Linked DNA regions of Arabidopsis thaliana. The protein of the gene in region 1 purifies or fractionates together with the protein of each later gene. This does not show direct contact. Each region holds a gene or a part of one and is shown in the gene's direction. Other genes may lie near its edges.

Region 1 (4,979 bases):
GACGAAGGAGAGGAAGAGCTCGAAGATAACGAAGGTCAGATCCATTATAACAGCTATGTTTATCAGAGACCTAATCTTGATTCGATTCAGAACGTTCTGATTCAGGGAACCTCCGGGAATAAAATAAAGAGGAAGCGTGGACGGCCGAGGAAGATTCGGAACCCTAGCGAAGAGAATGAGGTTTTGGATTTAACTGGTGAAGCATCTACGTATGTGTTTGTAGATAAAACTAGTAGCAATTTGGGAATGGTGAGTAGAGTTGGTAGTTCAGGAATCTCCCTGGATTCAAATTCAGTGAAGAGAAAGAGAGGTCGTCCTCCAAAGAATAAGGAAGAGATAATGAACCTAGAGAAGAGAGACAGTGCAATTGTGAATATTTCTGCGTTTGATAAGGAAGAGTTAGTAGTGAACTTGGAGAACAGAGAAGGTACAATTGTGGATCTCTCTGCATTGGCTAGTGTTTCAGAGGATCCATACGAAGAGGAGCTGAGGAGGATCACCGTTGGGTTGAAGACAAAGGAAGAGATCTTAGGTTTCTTGGAACAATTGAATGGTGAATGGGTGAATATAGGGAAGAAGAAGAAAGTTGTGAATGCTTGTGATTATGGAGGATACTTGCCTAGAGGATGGAGACTTATGCTCTACATCAAAAGGAAAGGTAGCAATTTGTTGCTGGCTTGTCGCAGATACATAAGGTATAATAATGTTTATGTTCTTCACTGGTTCTGTTTCTAGTTGGATTATAAAATAGACCTAGTATTGGCTGTGGAATTGGTTATAGCAAAACTAACACTTTGTTACTATTGAAGATATAGTTTTATAGGATTTGGTATATGATGTTTTAGTTTCTGCTGCTAGACTTTTGATTGTCCCTCTTGTTTGTTTCTCCATCTTCTTGAACATGATAAAAGATGTTTACATGAATTAAGGGCTGCTACTGAAATTGCTTATAGTTCGTTTGTGTACTCTCTGCCGTTCTAGGATTCTAGCTGTTGTTATCACTTTTAGTTCAGGATTCTGAAAATTTTCTCTTTTGTTTTTGATTATATAGCCCTGATGGGCAACAGTTTGAAACCTGCAAGGAAGTCTCCACATATCTACGATCACTTCTTGAATCCCCAAGCAAGAACCAACATTATTACTTGCAATCTGACAACAAGACTCTAGGACAACAACCAGTGATAGCTAACGAATCTTTACTAGGTAACTCTGATTCCATGGACTCTGAGACAATGCAGTACCTTGAGAGTGGAAGAACCAGCAGTGAGGTGTTTGAGGAAGCAAAAGCCGTAGAGAATGGCAATGAAGCAGATCGAGTGAAAACCAGTCTGATGCAGAAAGATGATAATGCAGATTTTCTGAATGGAGTTGAGGACAACGACGATGATATGAAGAAAAGAGATGGTAACATGGAGAATTTGGCGACTCTATCGAATTCAGAAATGACGAAAAGCCTACCGACAACGACTAATGAGCTTCAACAGTATTTCAGCTCACAAATCAACCGAGTTCAGTGACCATTTCTTTTACCTGGAACAAATTGTTTTCTCATTCTAGTTCAGATTTTATATTTTATGCAAACTAAAAGCGTGTTGTAGCTAACTACAGGATATAGAATTTGAAAGGGCCATGTACAAAACATTTGACAGAAACCAAATTTTTTCTTCAAAAGAAAATTTCTTTGAGTTTCAATCTGTGATTGATTTGGATTTGGATTTGGATTGGCATAAAAAAAATCTATGATTTGGATTGTGTTATATAATATAGAAAAGAACACAAACCCTTAAAATAATGGACAAGAGGACATGTCTTTCTCCGTTTATCACGGTCAGCGTCGTTAACCTTTTACGTTATTGACTAGATCGGGGTTTAATAAGAAACATATATTAGTTTTAGGTTCTTTCTGTGTAAAAACTAAACCTTTGTGGCTACTTTATAATTTATAAAACTTATGTTTCTGAGTTTTGTTGACTAAAAAAAGTAGATCCAACGGCTGATATAATACCACTATGAGAGGATCCTAGGGTTACTACTAATCTCGAAATCAATCAAATCAAAGCATCCATTTTTGATTCAGACTTCAGAGAGACAGAGAAGGAAGAAGAAGAAGAAGAAGAAGAAAAAACTATGGAGAATGAGAGGGAAAAGCAGGTTTACTTGGCTAAGCTCTCCGAGCAAACCGAAAGATACGATGGTATTTTCCGATTTCTGGATCTCTATTCAGAAAATGATTTGTTCATGTTTCTGAAAAAATCCGATCTTTTATTGCTCCGATCGAAATTGTTTTTACATTTCCATAGATTTTCTTTGTAGCCCTTTACCGATTTGTATGTTTCTGGGCTGTTACTTGATCTGGACTTTTAGATGCGACCTTTAAGTAATTTCTTGTTTAATGTTGTTTAGATACTCTGATCACTCTTGATCTTATCTTGATATAATTTTATACTTACTGTTGTCGAATCTCTTAGCATGAAAATGAAATAGATCTACGTTTTTGGAAGCAAATTCAAAGATCGGATATTTTTTTTTTGTTGGTGATGATGCAGAAATGGTGGAGGCGATGAAGAAAGTTGCTCAGCTTGATGTGGAGCTAACTGTGGAAGAGAGGAATCTTGTATCTGTAGGGTACAAGAATGTGATTGGTGCAAGGAGAGCATCATGGAGAATACTATCTTCCATTGAGCAGAAGGAAGAGTCCAAGGGAAATGATGAAAATGTCAAGAGGCTTAAGAATTATCGTAAGAGAGTTGAAGATGAGCTTGCTAAAGTTTGTAATGACATCTTGTCTGTCATTGATAAGCATCTCATTCCATCGTCTAACGCTGTGGAGTCAACTGTCTTTTTCTACAAAATGTGAGTGTCATCTTTATTATACTCTGACCATTCATGTGATATTTGTGTGACTAAGAATGAGATCATTTCCGTTTGACTAAAGTTAAATGTTTAAGTTATTACATAGCTACCACTCTTGCTTGTGTTCTTCCTGAAATGATGATGATTCATGAACTTTTCCTTGTTTCACTGTTTTGACTTTACGTGTTTTTTTTTCTTTCTATGTAGGAAAGGAGATTACTATCGCTATCTTGCGGAGTTCAGTTCTGGTGCTGAACGCAAGGAAGCTGCAGATCAGTCTCTTGAAGCATATAAGGTCCTTTGATCATGTTTATTTGTTTTCTTATTTTTGTGCCACCCCTCTTATATTTGAGCTGGGAATAACCTAAGACAAGTCTTGCTTTTTTCGTACTGGGAATGTAGGCTGCTGTTGCTGCTGCAGAGAATGGTTTGGCACCCACACATCCAGTTAGACTTGGCTTGGCGTTGAACTTTTCAGTTTTCTACTATGAGATCTTGAACTCTCCCGAAAGGTTTGTTTTTGTATTTTGGATTGAACATAATAGTGGAATCTGTGGTCATTTTCTGACACTATGAAACTATGTATTGTACAGCGCATGCCAATTGGCTAAGCAAGCATTCGATGATGCAATTGCTGAACTTGACAGCCTCAACGAGGAATCATACAAAGACAGCACTCTTATTATGCAGCTACTTAGAGACAATCTCACCTTGTGGACTTCAGACCTTAATGAGGAAGGAGGTATTCTTATTTTCTTTTGTTTCCCTATCTCATGATCAAATGGTTTCCTTAGAATCAAATGAGCTGTTAAGAGCGTTACCTTGGAGTAAAAATGTTGATGTTTGGGAACTCGTAACCATTAACCATCTGTCTATATTTGAATTAAACCGTCCTTTATGCATGTATTGCTATGTAGATCTTTCATTTTAGTTTTGAAAGCCTCAACAAAAAACATACCAATCTACCATCTCATAGTTATTGGATTCTAGCTAATCTTGTAAAAGTTATATGTTTGTAGCAGAAAACATTACTAGTTTCTTGTTTCTCTTCCAAAGCTTTTTCACTCACCTTTTTTTTTTCCCCTCTTAGATGAGAGAACCAAAGGTGCTGATGAGCCTCAAGATGAGGTATGAAAAGCCAGTTTTGTTATAAGTTAAGCTACTTACTGATTTTTCCATTTTGCATTGACAATTAGACCACTCATGGAATTACTGAATCATTGCAGAACTAAATCCTCTGTGAGAAGAGAAACGACTCTTGCTGCATCCTGAATCTTGAAGTGAAGACAGTAAGTGTCGTTGTTTGTTACTCGAATGTGTAATTTTTAATCTATGTCTTTCTTGATGGTGTTTTCCAGATTCTTGAACTTTTCACAACACAACACTGCGTTGCGTATCTTCAACCCTCTTATGATGTGGTTGAATTCTGTTTTACGCTTAGTTTGCTTCTTTTGTTGTTGAATTGAGCCAGCAGGCATGATTTGGGTTTTTGTTTATCAGAATATTAGGCGTATCATGGTCTCAAAATTAAAAACCAAAACAGACAAAGCTTTATTCGAAGTTTGTAATAACTAATAACTCCTTGCAAAAATCATGAAAGTCTGAATTCAAGAGGCTCTTAATAATTTGCATAAGTGATCCCAAACTTCACAACTTTTCAATTTGTGGATGTTTGCCCTCTTTGTGGCCAAGGAATCATCCTCAAGTGTGTTTCTCTACGGTGGTTTGGTCCGTAAGTGTGTGACATAATAATGGTTTGGTTCTCCCAACATGACCCTCAAAAAGGATCTCTATGCTCTAAATATGGGACTCTTGTAAGTTGTAATTGTAACCAAATGCTATCACAAACTCTCTAACTCGTACCAACACTCATTGTGTCTAATCCAATCGAGAGCCCTCAAAGTCTAAAACATGTTAATCAAACTGTGAACCAGTTAATCCTTATAGAATCAGATATCTTTTTGTCAACCATCTAAATAACATTTTTGTCACGAATTGACCACTTCCCTCGAGAGATTTTGTAGTGTTTTCTTTAATATTTTTATATGTCCAATGAATAATAATTTCATACATCTATCGAAAACTTCAATTTTGAGCTACAAATGATCAATTCAAGTATTCACTTG
Region 2 (5,808 bases), on another chromosome or scaffold:
TCCCATGCCCATTTGTTCACGTCCCACTCATCTGCTCTGCAAGGATAAAATTTATACAAAAAAAGTATCAGCTGATGTCTATCTCCATCTTCCAATGGATTACTTGATGCACTTTTTCAAGTATCTTTTACCAAAGAAGCCAAGTTGAGTTGATACAAAGCGAATGTAACTAGATAATGACCATCTTGATGCAAATTAAGGTTAAGCTACCATTCATAGTCATACATACTTCACGATTGGTTCAATAAGATTCGTTCCGAGTTTCTGATCATTTGCTAAGCCGAAGGGTTTATCGGGAAAAGGGGTTTTGTAAAAATCTCCTAACTACATATATCAGAATGACTGTTTCTATCATAAAGGTAAGAAAGAACCTGTACGAAGCTGCGGTTTTCCTTGGAGGTATCTGCATACACAAACAAAAAGACAATGAAGAGGTTACTTTGCCTAGCATCCCCGTAAAGTAACAGACACAGAAGAAAGCATAAACGATAAAATAACATTGATACATCAAGCTCCAATGTTGTCCATTACGAATGAGAATTTTATAGTTAAACCTAAATAACAACAGTTCACAATGTCTATGATTTCATCAAGGTAGCCAATTTGGAATCTCATACATCCTATAACACAATGACCATGTAACAATTTCACGAGTATCTCAAAAGCTAGTATGATTTCAGAGAGACCCCATCAAGATATCACTTAGCATGATATTGGTTAAAATTAATGTACTCTTTTATCACAAGCCTTGAATCTATCATACGAAATCTCCTTGAAAAGATTTTTCGCTGATAGTTACATGTGCAATCGATCACCATTGCAAATCCAAACAAAATTTCGAGTGATCAAGACTCAACGTCAAGTTTTCAACATATGCAAATTAAGACAACTTCCTCAATACCATTGCAAGAAATCTATAACACCAGATTGAATTTACGTTATAACTAATTATCAGATCCAAAACATCTCCTAAAATCACCAAGTGAACTTGCAAAGAAAGGATGTAACTTGAGCATAAAAGACACAAAACTCATCAAAAATTATAAAATCACATCTCATGATAAGCCAAGAAAAGTTACCAAATAAACATAGCATTCAGGCACTTGGAACAGAGCAATCTCTATAGCTTCTCTCTCCTCGTTATCATCGACATTCACAGGATCAGTGGAAGACTTCTTGTCTTCCTCCATAGTCGAAGAAGACGAAGCTTGATCCATCTCAGAAACAAAGAATTTAACTTGGAGAAAAACCCAGATGAGACTAATCGATCAAACAAACCCGTAAATCTTAAATGTTAAGTCTTTCCCGAACTGTGATTACAACAATCTCACGAGTCGCGAAGACGAAGAAACGTAGAGGTTTCGCGTTAGGTGTGTGTAGTGTATACCATTACTTCAATCTGAGCTACTTCAAAACCATCAGATCTAAGCTACCTCTGTTAAATCTGAACCGTCTATTACGTTGACTTTGAAACCCTGATATAGACTAGACACCTATGTATCCTCCACCGCTGGGAAGTCAACATTGAAGCAGTTGATGGACCAACACCAACCAATAGAAAGAACGTCCACATTTACTTTAATGGGCCTTTTAAACTAATAGGCCTAGGCCCATTATAAATACATGGATTTGTTTTATTTTATTTTTCTCATATCTGTCTCTTGGTGGTGATGAGTAGGTAAACTGTGTGCGCTTATTAACTTCTCTCACACTGACTCTGCGACCCTAATTTGTGAGCTCTCTTCTCTTTGCGCAGTCAATTTGCTACAACTTAGAAAATGGCGGCGGCTACTTCATCCATCGCTCCTTCTCTTTCATGCCCATCTCCTTCTTCTTCATCCAAAACCCTTTGGTCTTCCAAAGCCAGAACCTTGGCTCTACCCAATATCGGTTTCCTCTCGTCTTCTTCCAAGTCTCTGAGGTCGCTTACTGCCACCGTCGCTGGAAATGGCGCCACTGGATCCTCCCTTGCCGCTCGCATGGTTTCTTCGTCTGCGGTCAAAGCCCCTGTTTCTCTCGATTTTGAGACATCTGTCTTCAAAAAGGAGAAAGTTTCTCTTGCTGGTTACGAAGAGGTTTATCTCATTTACCCTCTTATTCATTTCTGTTCTAATTTGTGCTTATTCTATAATCATTTTGATGTGTATTGATTTTGTTAGTTGTTGCTAATGTTTGGTTTCTGCTGATCTTTGTTTTAGTACATTGTGAGAGGAGGAAGAGACTTGTTCAAGCATCTCCCAGATGCTTTCAAGGGGATTAAGCAGATTGGTGTGATTGGCTGGGGATCTCAGGTACTTACCTTTTTTGGTCTCTTTATCTGTAGCTACTGTGCTTCTTGTTTGATTGCTTTTTAAATTGCTTACGTTGGATTGCGAATAAGGAATCTTGGTTCTGTGTTGTGATACGAAATTGGTCAGAAAAAGGATATGAATAAAGTGTTTTCATTTTCATACTTTTGATGCATTTGAGTTGGTGGAATGAACAAGATTAATATATTGTTTCATATTCTTTTTATTCAGCATCTCTTCTCTTGTAATAAACGCTTTATCTATATATGCAGGGACCTGCCCAGGCTCAGAATTTAAGGGATTCACTTGTGGAGGCAAAGTCTGACATTGTTGTCAAGGTATTTCAACTGCAGAGTTGGCTTCATACTTGTATTTGTTTGCTTTCTGTTGTTACGTGAAGGCTCTGTTCTGACTTTGTTTTCGTTTTAATATACTATTACGTAGATTGGTCTCAGAAAAGGGTCTCGCTCATTTGAGGAGGCACGTGCTGCTGGCTTCACTGAAGAAAGTGGTACTTTGGGTGATATATGGGAAACTATCGCTGGCAGTGATCTTGTATTGCTTTTGATCTCTGATGCTGCTCAAGTAAGTGCACTTTTGTTATATATTTCCACTACTACTTGTTGAGGTATTAGTCCTAAGGTGTATACATCGATTTTATTCTATCCTGTTTTTGCAGGCTGATAACTATGAGAAAATATTCTCTCACATGAAGCCAAACAGCATTCTTGGTTTATCACACGGGTTTCTACTAGGGCATTTACAGTCCTCGGGACTCGATTTCCCAAAGAACATCAGTGTGGTCGCTGTATGCCCTAAGGGAATGGGTCCTTCTGTGAGGAGGCTTTACGTCCAAGGAAAAGAAATTAACGGTGCTGGAATCAACGCCAGTTTTGCAGTCCACCAGGTTTTCTATCTCTTTATCTCTACTGCAAAAGCTATCTTTACTGAAAAGCTCTTATACCTCATGTGTTCATTTTTTCACCACTATTTCTGCTATTCTGTTGGCAGGATGTTGACGGTAGAGCCGCCGATGTTGCATTGGGATGGTCAGTAGCACTTGGTTCTCCGTTTACTTTTGCTACTACTCTTGAACAGGAGTACAGGAGTGACATCTTTGGAGAAAGAGGTGAGTTTGATCCCCTTTTAGACCTGTCTTTATATCACTCAATCCCATACTTACATATCTTCTTCTTTTTTGTTAAAAGGAATTTTGCTTGGTGCTGTTCACGGAATCGTGGAGTCTCTGTTTAGAAGATACACCGAAAATGGGATGAGTGAAGACTTGGCTTACAAGAACACAGTAGAATGCATCACAGGAACAATTTCAAGGACTATCTCTACCCAGGTTAGTAGGAAGATATCTGTAGAGAACAGACTAATTCGTTTTTAGCCAAATATAAAAATTTAAAACCTGTTTCTAATGAATTGTGAACATCAGGGAATGTTGGCTGTGTACAACTCCTTGTCTGAAGAAGGTAAAAAAGATTTTGAGACTGCATACAGCGCATCCTTCTATCCTTGTATGGAGATTCTCTATGAATGTTACGAGGATGTACAAAGTGGCAGCGAAATCCGAAGTGTTGTCTTAGCCGGTCGTCGCTTCTATGTAATGACTCTTCCGAATCTTCCTTTTGTTACAATTACCCAAACACAGTTTGTGCAGGAGTTTTGATGGATTCTCTTACTTATAACAGGAAAAGGAAGGCTTGCCAGCATTCCCTATGGGAAATATTGACCAGACAAGAATGTGGAAGGTGGGTGAACGCGTCAGGAAGTCCAGACCTGCTGGTGACTTGGGTCCATTGTATCCCTTCACCGCTGGAGTTTATGTAGCACTTATGATGGCTCAGGTATGTCTATGTTTATATCTGGTGTGCCCACCTTTGCTTTGGATTTTTCGGTTTATGCAATGTAGAGTCGGTTTCAATTTCCGTTCAGATTTTAGAAAATATACCTCTAATTGGAATATTTTTGTCATTGCAATAGGTTTGTATAGTCTAATTGGATTCTTCTTACTTCCATTTTGTTTCAGAGAAATTGTGATATCGATCTGTTTTGTATTCAATTTTGAATTCTTTTTTGTATGGTTTTAGTTCGAATTAGCCGCATTGGACAACCCCTAGAATTTAATATGCTATCAATTTTCAGTGATTTCTTAGAATCTAAATCATCGTGGTTTCTATGTGGATTTGTGTAGATTGAGATCTTGAGGAAGAAAGGTCACTCTTACTCAGAAATCATCAACGAGAGTGTGATTGAATCCGTGGACTCTCTAAACCCATTTATGCACGCCAGGGGAGTGTCCTTCATGGTTGACAACTGCTCAACCACAGCAAGATTGGGTTCGAGGAAATGGGCGCCACGGTTTGACTACATCCTGACCCAACAAGCTCTTGTGGCTGTGGACAGTGGTGCAGCAATCAACAGAGACCTAATCAGTAACTTCTTCTCTGATCCAGTCCATGGTGCCATTGAGGTCTGCGCACAGCTCAGGCCTACCGTTGATATCTCTGTGCCTGCTGATGCAGACTTTGTTCGACCTGAGTTGCGTCAATCTAGCAACTGAGTGAAGGGTTGAAAGTTTGTCAGTCTCTTATTTGTAATCGGAGTATTAAGTCGAGAGTTTGTGATGTTTTCTTAGGCGTGACTGTTTGTTTTGTTTGAAGGATTATGTCTCTTTGCTTTGGTCTTAAAATCTACTTAAATCAATAAAATAGTTTAACGAAATTTCGCTTTAACTATTTTCGTAACAACATTTGCAAACTTTCAACTTAATTTTGTCTAGAATTGTGTATTGTCAATTTCAGTAACTGAACTGGGATTAGAGACGCTTGAGAGTTAAAGAAGGAACCAGTATCGAGAGTTTAGGATTTGATGAAGTTTATATGTCTGCGTTAATCTTGCAACATTTAGGATACTTTTAGGATATAATAGTGTGTAATGCTACTTTTGTTGGGTCAAAAATAGTATGTTGCTATGTTGAATGATTGAATATAGAATAAAGAGATAAGTTTTTTACAAATGCCAGATAGATTGAATATATGTAGTCACTCTCCAACTTCAATTATATTATTATTACAAGGAAAAATCATTTGTGTGTGTGTGTGTGTGTGTGTTTTCTTTCTTTTCAAAACTAAAGATAAAGAAGAAAAAATTGGCAGAGCATAATGCTTTTGTCTCTCTTTTTACTGAGAAATGAAGAATCTAAATTATTAGAATCACATGTAATGACATGTGCTCTCCCTCTCCCTCTGCACATTTTGCATTATATGTCAAGTCTTTTTCCCTTTCCTTGTAAAATCAAAAAAAGAAGAAAAAAAGAGAGAGAGATAAATCCACAATGCTTGAGAAAAGGAAAAGAAACAGAGAACCAAGAGAATCTGAATTAATTAATAAATAAAAATTCTGCAATCATATGATAGTGTGGCTCAAGAATTAGAGAAAGACAAGACCAACATGTGTAGCCAATCATACTGTATTGCTCTTTTCCCACATTTCATGTTCATTTATCCTAAAA
Region 3 (7,087 bases), 2.0 Mb from region 1:
AATGCTAAGGCTCTGAAAGCGGGAAAAGTCAAGCTCTGATAAGGTTCCTTCCAGCCGATTAAGCCTCAGATTCAACTTGACGAGATTAGTACAATTTGCAAGAGAAGGCGGGACTGTACCAGTGATGTTATTGATATGGAGTTGGAGGCTTTGCAGGCGAGAGAGCTGACCTATGTCCATTGGTATTTCTCCTCCAAGGTGATTGGAGTACAGCTCGAGCGATTTTAGTTTTGTGAGGTGGGTGATGTCATCATTGATCTTTCCAGAAAGATGATTGACGGGTAGAAAGAGTTGCTCGAGCTCCGAAAGATTGTATATGTCACTTGGGATTTCACCAGAGATATTGTTGAAGCCTGCTTGTAGAACACTTAGCTTCAAACATCTCCCTAGTCCTTGCGGAATATTACCGGTAAAATCATTGTAGGAGAAATCCAGTTTGCTGAGCTGCGGTGAACTCTTGCACATAAACGAAGGGATTGAGCCTGTGAAGCTGTTCTTGCTGACATTGAAACTGATTAAATCGAAAGTTCCTTGCATAAAAATAGAACTAGGGAGGATTTCGCCTTGGAGAAAATTGCTTGACAGATCAACTATCCGAATTGGGAAACATCTGTTGCTTCCATTTCTAAATGTTTGTTCAACTGGCAACTCACCATCGAGGCTGTTGTAACTAAGATCAAGAACTTTGAGCTGATCAAGGGCTGAGAGAAAGCCAGATGGGAGATGACCGGAGAGACGGTTATGAGAAAGATTGAGTTGAGAGAGATGGTGGAGACGCAGAACAGACAAAGGGAGTTTACCATATAGTGCTCTAAAGGGCAATGAGATTGCAGTGATGTGGCTATCCGGGGAATCATCGCAGGTTATTCCTTCCCATGAGCAACAATCAATGGATGGGTTCCAATTCAGAGGAGAAACAGAAGAAGAAACGTTTCCAGAGAACCACAGTAGGGATTCTCGATCTTGCGAGTTGCAGAGAGCCTCTGAAACTGCAATAGAAAGGACACTGATGAAAAGAACACACTGAAGGAGTATGCCAATCATGTGAAAACTCAGAGCTTGTATTGGTCTTGTGGTTGATGAAGTTCTCACAAAACCTTTGGCTTTGAATCTCCCCTCATTAGTCATGGTGAGAACAAGAACAAGACGAGAAACAGACAAAGAAGATGAAAAAACTTGTTGGCCAGTGTTGACTAAGGGGGAATAGCCCAGACATAACAAAATTAGACTTGTCGTACATCTTTAATATTTTTTTTATCTGTTTCTTTGTCCTGACGCTTTCATTATTCCTGTGATCAATTTTCTCATACCATTGGTCCATCGTTAATCCTTTCTCAATTTCATTTTCTACGTAACATGAGAGGAGACCAAGTCCTATGAGAACAGTTGACGTAACAGTGGTTGTTAAGTTAAGTTAAAAAGAGGAAGCTAGTGAGAGTGACCGTTAGGTAGAGAAGTGAGATCTTTAACCACTCTTCTTTCTCTCTCTCTCTGCTTTTTTCGTCGTCTTTCACATCTACTGTTCGCAAACTCTCTTATGCTTCCAATAATGGTGATACCAATTGAGACTTGCAGGAGAATCTCCTCTTCTCCACACTCTATCAACTGGTCAGCCATGGAATGGTCGTTTCAGTTTCAATATTCCTGGATTCTTTTTAAGGATTCCTGTTTCTCTTCTGTTCCTGGTATATTCTTAACGACGAAATTAGTATCGGATCCTGGTAATACATTTTGAAGCTTTTAAGTATGGCCGAGGATTTGGACAAGCCATTGCTGGATCCTGATACTTTCAACAGAAAAGGAATTGATTTGGTAAATGTTCCTTTTAACTGTATACTCTTATTAGTACTTGAATTCTTAGTGGCAAAAAAGGGTTTTGACCCTTCTTGAGCTTGACAGGGTATATTGCCGTTGGAGGAGGTTTTTGAATACCTAAGAACATCGCCTCAAGGGCTTTTATCTGGAGATGCTGAAGAGAGATTGAAGATATTTGGTCCTAACAGACTTGAAGAGAAACAGGTAATAAACATGACATTCTTCTTAGTGTTCCTGCCAATTGTCTCTATTATCTTGTGCTAACCGCCATTTAAAACAACAATGATACAGGAGAACAGATTTGTGAAATTCTTAGGTTTTATGTGGAATCCCTTGTCATGGGTTATGGAAGCTGCTGCATTGATGGCCATTGCCCTCGCTAATAGTCAAGTAAGACAACCACAGTTTTGCTACCATTTTCCATCCATGAGTGTTTATGAAAAAGCACCTTGAAACTCATGGTGAAAATGGTATTACAGAGTCTAGGTCCTGACTGGGAAGACTTTACTGGAATCGTTTGCCTTTTGCTGATCAACGCAACAATCAGCTTCTTTGAAGAAAACAATGCTGGGAATGCTGCTGCAGCTCTTATGGCTCGCTTGGCTTTAAAAACAAGAGTATGGCTCTTAACCTTCCTATGAGCCGAAACGGCAAAGTTAGCTGCACTTTAATTTCTATATTACCTTAAATTTGATTTAGATCCACTCTTATAGGTTCTTAGAGATGGACAGTGGCAAGAACAAGATGCTTCTATCTTGGTACCTGGTGATATAATTAGCATTAAGCTTGGGGATATCATTCCTGCAGATGCTCGCCTTCTTGAAGGAGACCCCTTGAAGATTGATCAGGTACGTCCAGAATATCTAGTCTCTATTCTTTTAGTGTGTACTATGTAAAGACTTTCTCTGACAGAATAGTTAAAACATTTATTCCTGCAGTCAGTGCTGACCGGAGAATCACTACCTGTGACCAAGAAGAAGGGTGAACAGGTCTTTTCTGGCTCTACTTGTAAACAAGGTGAAATAGAAGCTGTTGTGATAGCAACTGGATCGACCACCTTCTTTGGAAAAACAGCACGCTTGGTGGACAGTACAGATGTAACTGGACATTTTCAGCAGGTTTTCCTTCTTTCTTTCCCTTTTGGTTGGATAGAACCTGATTAGTGAACTTGGAATCTGGAAAAACCGAATGTAGTCTTTGACATGTTTTCTTCTAGGTTCTTACATCGATTGGAAACTTCTGCATTTGCTCCATTGCTGTTGGAATGGTTCTTGAAATCATTATCATGTTCCCTGTACAACATCGCTCTTACAGAATTGGGATCAATAATCTTCTTGTACTACTGATTGGAGGGATACCCATTGCCATGCCCACTGTACTATCTGTAACGCTTGCCATTGGATCTCATCGACTTTCACAACAGGTACATCCCACTTTAAGCTGCTGAATGCAAAAGGAAGTCCTTTGTTTGTTATTCTTTAAAACAGTTTGTTAGCAATAATCTGTTTCTTCATGTTCTCTAAGGGTGCCATTACGAAAAGAATGACCGCAATAGAGGAAATGGCTGGGATGGATGTACTCTGCTGTGATAAAACTGGAACCCTTACTTTGAACAGTCTTACCGTTGATAAAAATCTTATTGAGGTACCAATACTACAGATGCGACTTGAATTTCATCAAACAATACTGTTAAGAACAGTTGCCTCCTTCTTCATCGTCTTGTTCTCTATTGTTGGTGTTTAAATGTACAAATCCTTCTGCACAGGTATTCGTTGACTACATGGACAAGGATACAATTTTGTTGCTTGCAGGCCGAGCTTCACGACTAGAAAATCAGGATGCTATAGATGCAGCCATTGTTAGCATGCTTGCAGATCCCAGAGAGGTAGAGATGTTTCTCTAACATGAACTCTCTTTTATAAGACTATCACCTTCTTAGAAGTTTTTCTCATACAAAGGTTGTTTATCTGTAGGCACGTGCAAACATTAGAGAAATCCATTTCTTACCATTCAATCCTGTGGACAAACGTACTGCAATAACGTATATTGATTCCGATGGAAAATGGTATCGTGCTACCAAAGGTGCTCCTGAACAGGTATGTATTCTTAGCACTACCAAACTGACTCTAGTTGTAAAAATTTAGTGAATTTTTTTGTACTGTTTCCATGAAAGAAATACCATCACTAATACAACTGCACTATATTATAGGTTCTAAACTTGTGTCAGCAGAAAAATGAGATTGCGCAAAGAGTTTATGCCATCATTGATAGATTTGCAGAAAAAGGTTTGAGGTCTCTTGCGGTTGCTTATCAGGTAACATCATTGTCCTCTCCCTTTCTCTCTTGAGCTGGTTTTATCATAAGTGTACTTTTGAAGAAGAACGTTATGATGACATTAATTACTCCAATTCATTGCATCATTTAAATAATTGTTTCTAGGAAATTCCAGAGAAAAGCAACAACAGTCCTGGAGGACCATGGAGGTTCTGTGGTCTGTTGCCACTGTTTGATCCCCCAAGGCATGATAGCGGTGAAACCATCCTTAGAGCTCTTAGCCTGGGAGTTTGCGTTAAGATGATCACTGGTAAATCTTAACCTTTAGCTTGGTAGGCTTGGCCCGACAGAGAAACACATATACCCTTGTGAGTAAACGGTAAAACTCTGGGAAAATGAATGATAAGTTTGGAACCACATGTAGGTGATCAATTGGCGATTGCAAAGGAGACAGGCAGACGTCTTGGAATGGGAACCAACATGTATCCTTCTTCCTCTTTGTTAGGCCACAACAATGATGAGCATGAAGCCATTCCAGTGGATGAGCTAATTGAAATGGCAGATGGATTTGCTGGAGTTTTCCCTGGTCATATTCTAACACAACCTTAGTACCTACGAAATTTAAGATTTGCTCTCATTTCTAATCCCAAATTTTTTTTGTCTCTCATGTTACAGAACATAAGTATGAGATTGTAAAGATTTTACAAGAAATGAAGCATGTGGTTGGAATGACCGGAGATGGTGTGAATGATGCTCCTGCTCTCAAAAAAGCTGACATCGGAATAGCTGTCGCAGATGCAACAGATGCTGCAAGAAGTTCTGCTGACATAGTACTAACTGATCCCGGCTTAAGTGTAATTATCAGTGCTGTCTTGACCAGCAGAGCCATTTTCCAGCGGATGAGGAACTATACAGTAAGTACTAAAGTTATAGTTATACTACTATCATCTGATCCCTGATAGCTAAAGAAATGAAAAATCATATAATATAGGATATGGATTTCAAGTAGCCTGATGACATTCTCAACTAGCTTATGTTTTTCTCTGAATTACCGACTAATCAGTACGAATCTGCAGGTATATGCAGTCTCTATCACCATACGCATAGTGGTAAGGAGCTTCATGATACATGATCTAACTCATGTTAGTTAAGTTACATCAACTTACTTGAACTTTCTCTTCTTGACATTGTTTCATGCAGCTTGGTTTTACACTTTTAGCGTTGATATGGGAATACGACTTCCCACCTTTCATGGTTCTGATAATCGCAATACTCAATGACGGTAATCTCTTAATCAATAGCTTCATATTGATGTAACCTAATTTTTATCACTTTCAAACGCTATGTTTATCTCCTACGCATCAGGGACTATCATGACTATTTCTAAAGATCGAGTTAGGCCATCTCCTACACCCGAGAGTTGGAAGCTCAACCAGATATTTGCGACAGGAATTGTCATTGGAACATATCTAGCATTGGTCACCGTCCTGTTTTACTGGATCATTGTTTCTACCACCTTCTTCGAGGTATCTTCCTATCACTCAAAGTAAGTTAGATTTTGCTTACCGAGAAGAATGCATACCGGTGACCAATCTTTAATGGCTGCAGAAACACTTCCATGTAAAATCAATTGCCAACAACAGTGAACAAGTGTCATCCGCGATGTATCTCCAAGTGAGCATCATCAGTCAGGCACTCATATTTGTAACACGTAGTCGAGGCTGGTCATTTTTTGAACGTCCCGGGACTCTCCTGATTTTTGCCTTCATTCTTGCTCAACTTGTACGAATTCCCCATACTTCGCATTTTTTCCATCACAGAATGCTATATAGCACACATAGGTCGTGATATTGACTTGTCCATTTCATGTACACAGGCGGCTACATTAATTGCTGTGTATGCCAACATCAGCTTTGCTAAAATCACCGGCATTGGATGGAGATGGGCAGGTGTTATATGGTTATACAGTCTGATATTTTACATACCTCTAGATGTTATAAAGTTTGTCTTTCACTACGCATTGAGTGGAGAAGCTTGGAATCTCGTATTGGACCGTAAGGTTGGTACATGTCCTGTGTCTCTTGTCCTCTGCTTGTTAGTCAGTCTCACACTTAAACTATGCATTTTCTTGAAGATGAGACCGTTGGTTTGTCTTGCAGACAGCTTTTACTTACAAGAAAGATTATGGGAAAGATGATGGATCGCCCAATGTAACCATCTCTCAGAGAAGTCGTTCCGCAGAAGAACTCAGAGGAAGCCGTTCTCGCGCTTCTTGGATCGCTGAACAAACCAGGAGGCGTGCAGAAATCGCCAGGTTCTCTTTTTATCTATACCCCGTTTTGGGTATTCTCTTCCATTTTCACATACTACCAAAATAACTATATTGTTTTTCATTTGGTAGGCTTCTAGAGGTTCATTCAGTGTCAAGGCATTTAGAATCTGTGATCAAACTCAAACAAATTGACCAAAGGATGATCCGTGCAGCTCATACTGTCTAAAACACTCTCTTAGTTTTTCCCTATCTCAAAATTTACATAAAGAGGAATCGAACAATGTTGTGTTCCTCAGAGAAGTAAAAACAATATTTAGAGCATTCATATGATCTGTAGTCTGTAATGTAGTCTTGTTTTCCGGTGACAGCAGAAATTTCACCTGATATGCTCTGCTGAGATCAATTGTAGGCCATATATGTCGGTGTTTCACTGAACCTGTGATCATTGTTCATCACTTTGGTTAAATTGAAAAATCACCACTTTTATTTCCTGTGTAATCGAATATTTACTCTCTTGTTTTCAATTATTACTAATTTAGTCCACATTCCGTGTTGAATAAATCTTGGTTTATAATTACTTGTTTCAAAAGCAATCAAGCTGTTCTTATAGAACACAAAATTCTCAAGCAAATAAACTATATTTCACCGACAAAATTCACAAAACCGTCGGAAAAGAATCAAACGAATTTGACATTAAACCACCTACTATAATACAGGTAAAGAAGA

What was found. Proteins that work in one complex are often made in the same cells at the same time.
Region 2: the proteins of GRF10 (region 1) and AT3G58610 purify together in Arabidopsis thaliana (affinity purification with mass spectrometry, with the first as the bait; one study listed by BioGRID). This does not show direct contact.
Region 3: the proteins of GRF10 (region 1) and AHA10 purify together in Arabidopsis thaliana (affinity purification with mass spectrometry, with the first as the bait; one study listed by BioGRID). This does not show direct contact.

The regions. Positions count from the first base shown.
Region 1 is NC_003070.9:7,878,252-7,883,230, reverse strand, and holds GRF10 (general regulatory factor 10), read left to right. Parts: upstream 1-1,835; 5' UTR 1,836-2,127; coding exon 2,128-2,194; intron 2,195-2,546; coding exon 2,547-2,853; intron 2,854-3,060; coding exon 3,061-3,148; intron 3,149-3,255; coding exon 3,256-3,365; intron 3,366-3,446; coding exon 3,447-3,595; coding exon of another isoform or gene 3,596-3,630; exon of another isoform or gene 3,631-3,943; coding exon 3,944-3,981; coding exon of another isoform or gene 3,982-3,987; exon of another isoform or gene 3,988-4,006; intron 4,007-4,079; coding exon 4,080-4,085; 3' UTR 4,086-4,472; downstream 4,473-4,979. Other genes in the region: MBD8 (methyl-CPG-binding domain 8), read left to right, coding at 1-695, 1,052-1,517. UniProt on the Arabidopsis thaliana protein: Is associated with a DNA binding complex that binds to the G box, a well-characterized cis-acting DNA regulatory element found in plant genes.
Region 2 is NC_003074.8:21,669,783-21,675,590, forward strand, and holds AT3G58610 (ketol-acid reductoisomerase), read left to right. Parts: upstream 1-1,650; 5' UTR 1,651-1,778; coding exon 1,779-2,075; intron 2,076-2,198; coding exon 2,199-2,291; intron 2,292-2,560; coding exon 2,561-2,626; intron 2,627-2,732; coding exon 2,733-2,873; intron 2,874-2,967; coding exon 2,968-3,195; intron 3,196-3,299; coding exon 3,300-3,417; intron 3,418-3,496; coding exon 3,497-3,636; intron 3,637-3,729; coding exon 3,730-3,897; intron 3,898-3,985; coding exon 3,986-4,141; intron 4,142-4,488; coding exon 4,489-4,857; 3' UTR 4,858-4,949; exon of another isoform or gene 4,950-5,103; intron 5,104-5,171; 3' UTR 5,172-5,308; downstream 5,309-5,808. Other genes in the region: AT3G58600 (Adaptin ear-binding coat-associated protein 1 NECAP-1), read right to left, coding at 1-36, 372-403, 1,080-1,217.
Region 3 is NC_003070.9:5,902,312-5,909,398, forward strand, and holds AHA10 (autoinhibited H[+]-ATPase), read left to right. Parts: upstream 1-1,746; coding exon 1,747-1,812; intron 1,813-1,899; coding exon 1,900-2,019; intron 2,020-2,106; coding exon 2,107-2,205; intron 2,206-2,294; coding exon 2,295-2,432; intron 2,433-2,528; coding exon 2,529-2,663; intron 2,664-2,753; coding exon 2,754-2,933; intron 2,934-3,031; coding exon 3,032-3,238; intron 3,239-3,339; coding exon 3,340-3,459; intron 3,460-3,580; coding exon 3,581-3,700; intron 3,701-3,788; coding exon 3,789-3,911; intron 3,912-4,024; coding exon 4,025-4,129; intron 4,130-4,254; coding exon 4,255-4,399; intron 4,400-4,513; coding exon 4,514-4,675; intron 4,676-4,764; coding exon 4,765-5,003; intron 5,004-5,165; coding exon 5,166-5,198; intron 5,199-5,289; coding exon 5,290-5,371; intron 5,372-5,454; coding exon 5,455-5,615; intron 5,616-5,697; coding exon 5,698-5,871; intron 5,872-5,965; coding exon 5,966-6,148; intron 6,149-6,248; coding exon 6,249-6,403; and 3 more. Other genes in the region: RLP3 (receptor like protein 3), read right to left, coding at 1-1,128. UniProt on the Arabidopsis thaliana protein: The plasma membrane H(+) ATPase of plants and fungi generates a proton gradient that drives the active transport of nutrients by H(+)-symport. The resulting external acidification and/or internal alkinization may mediate growth responses.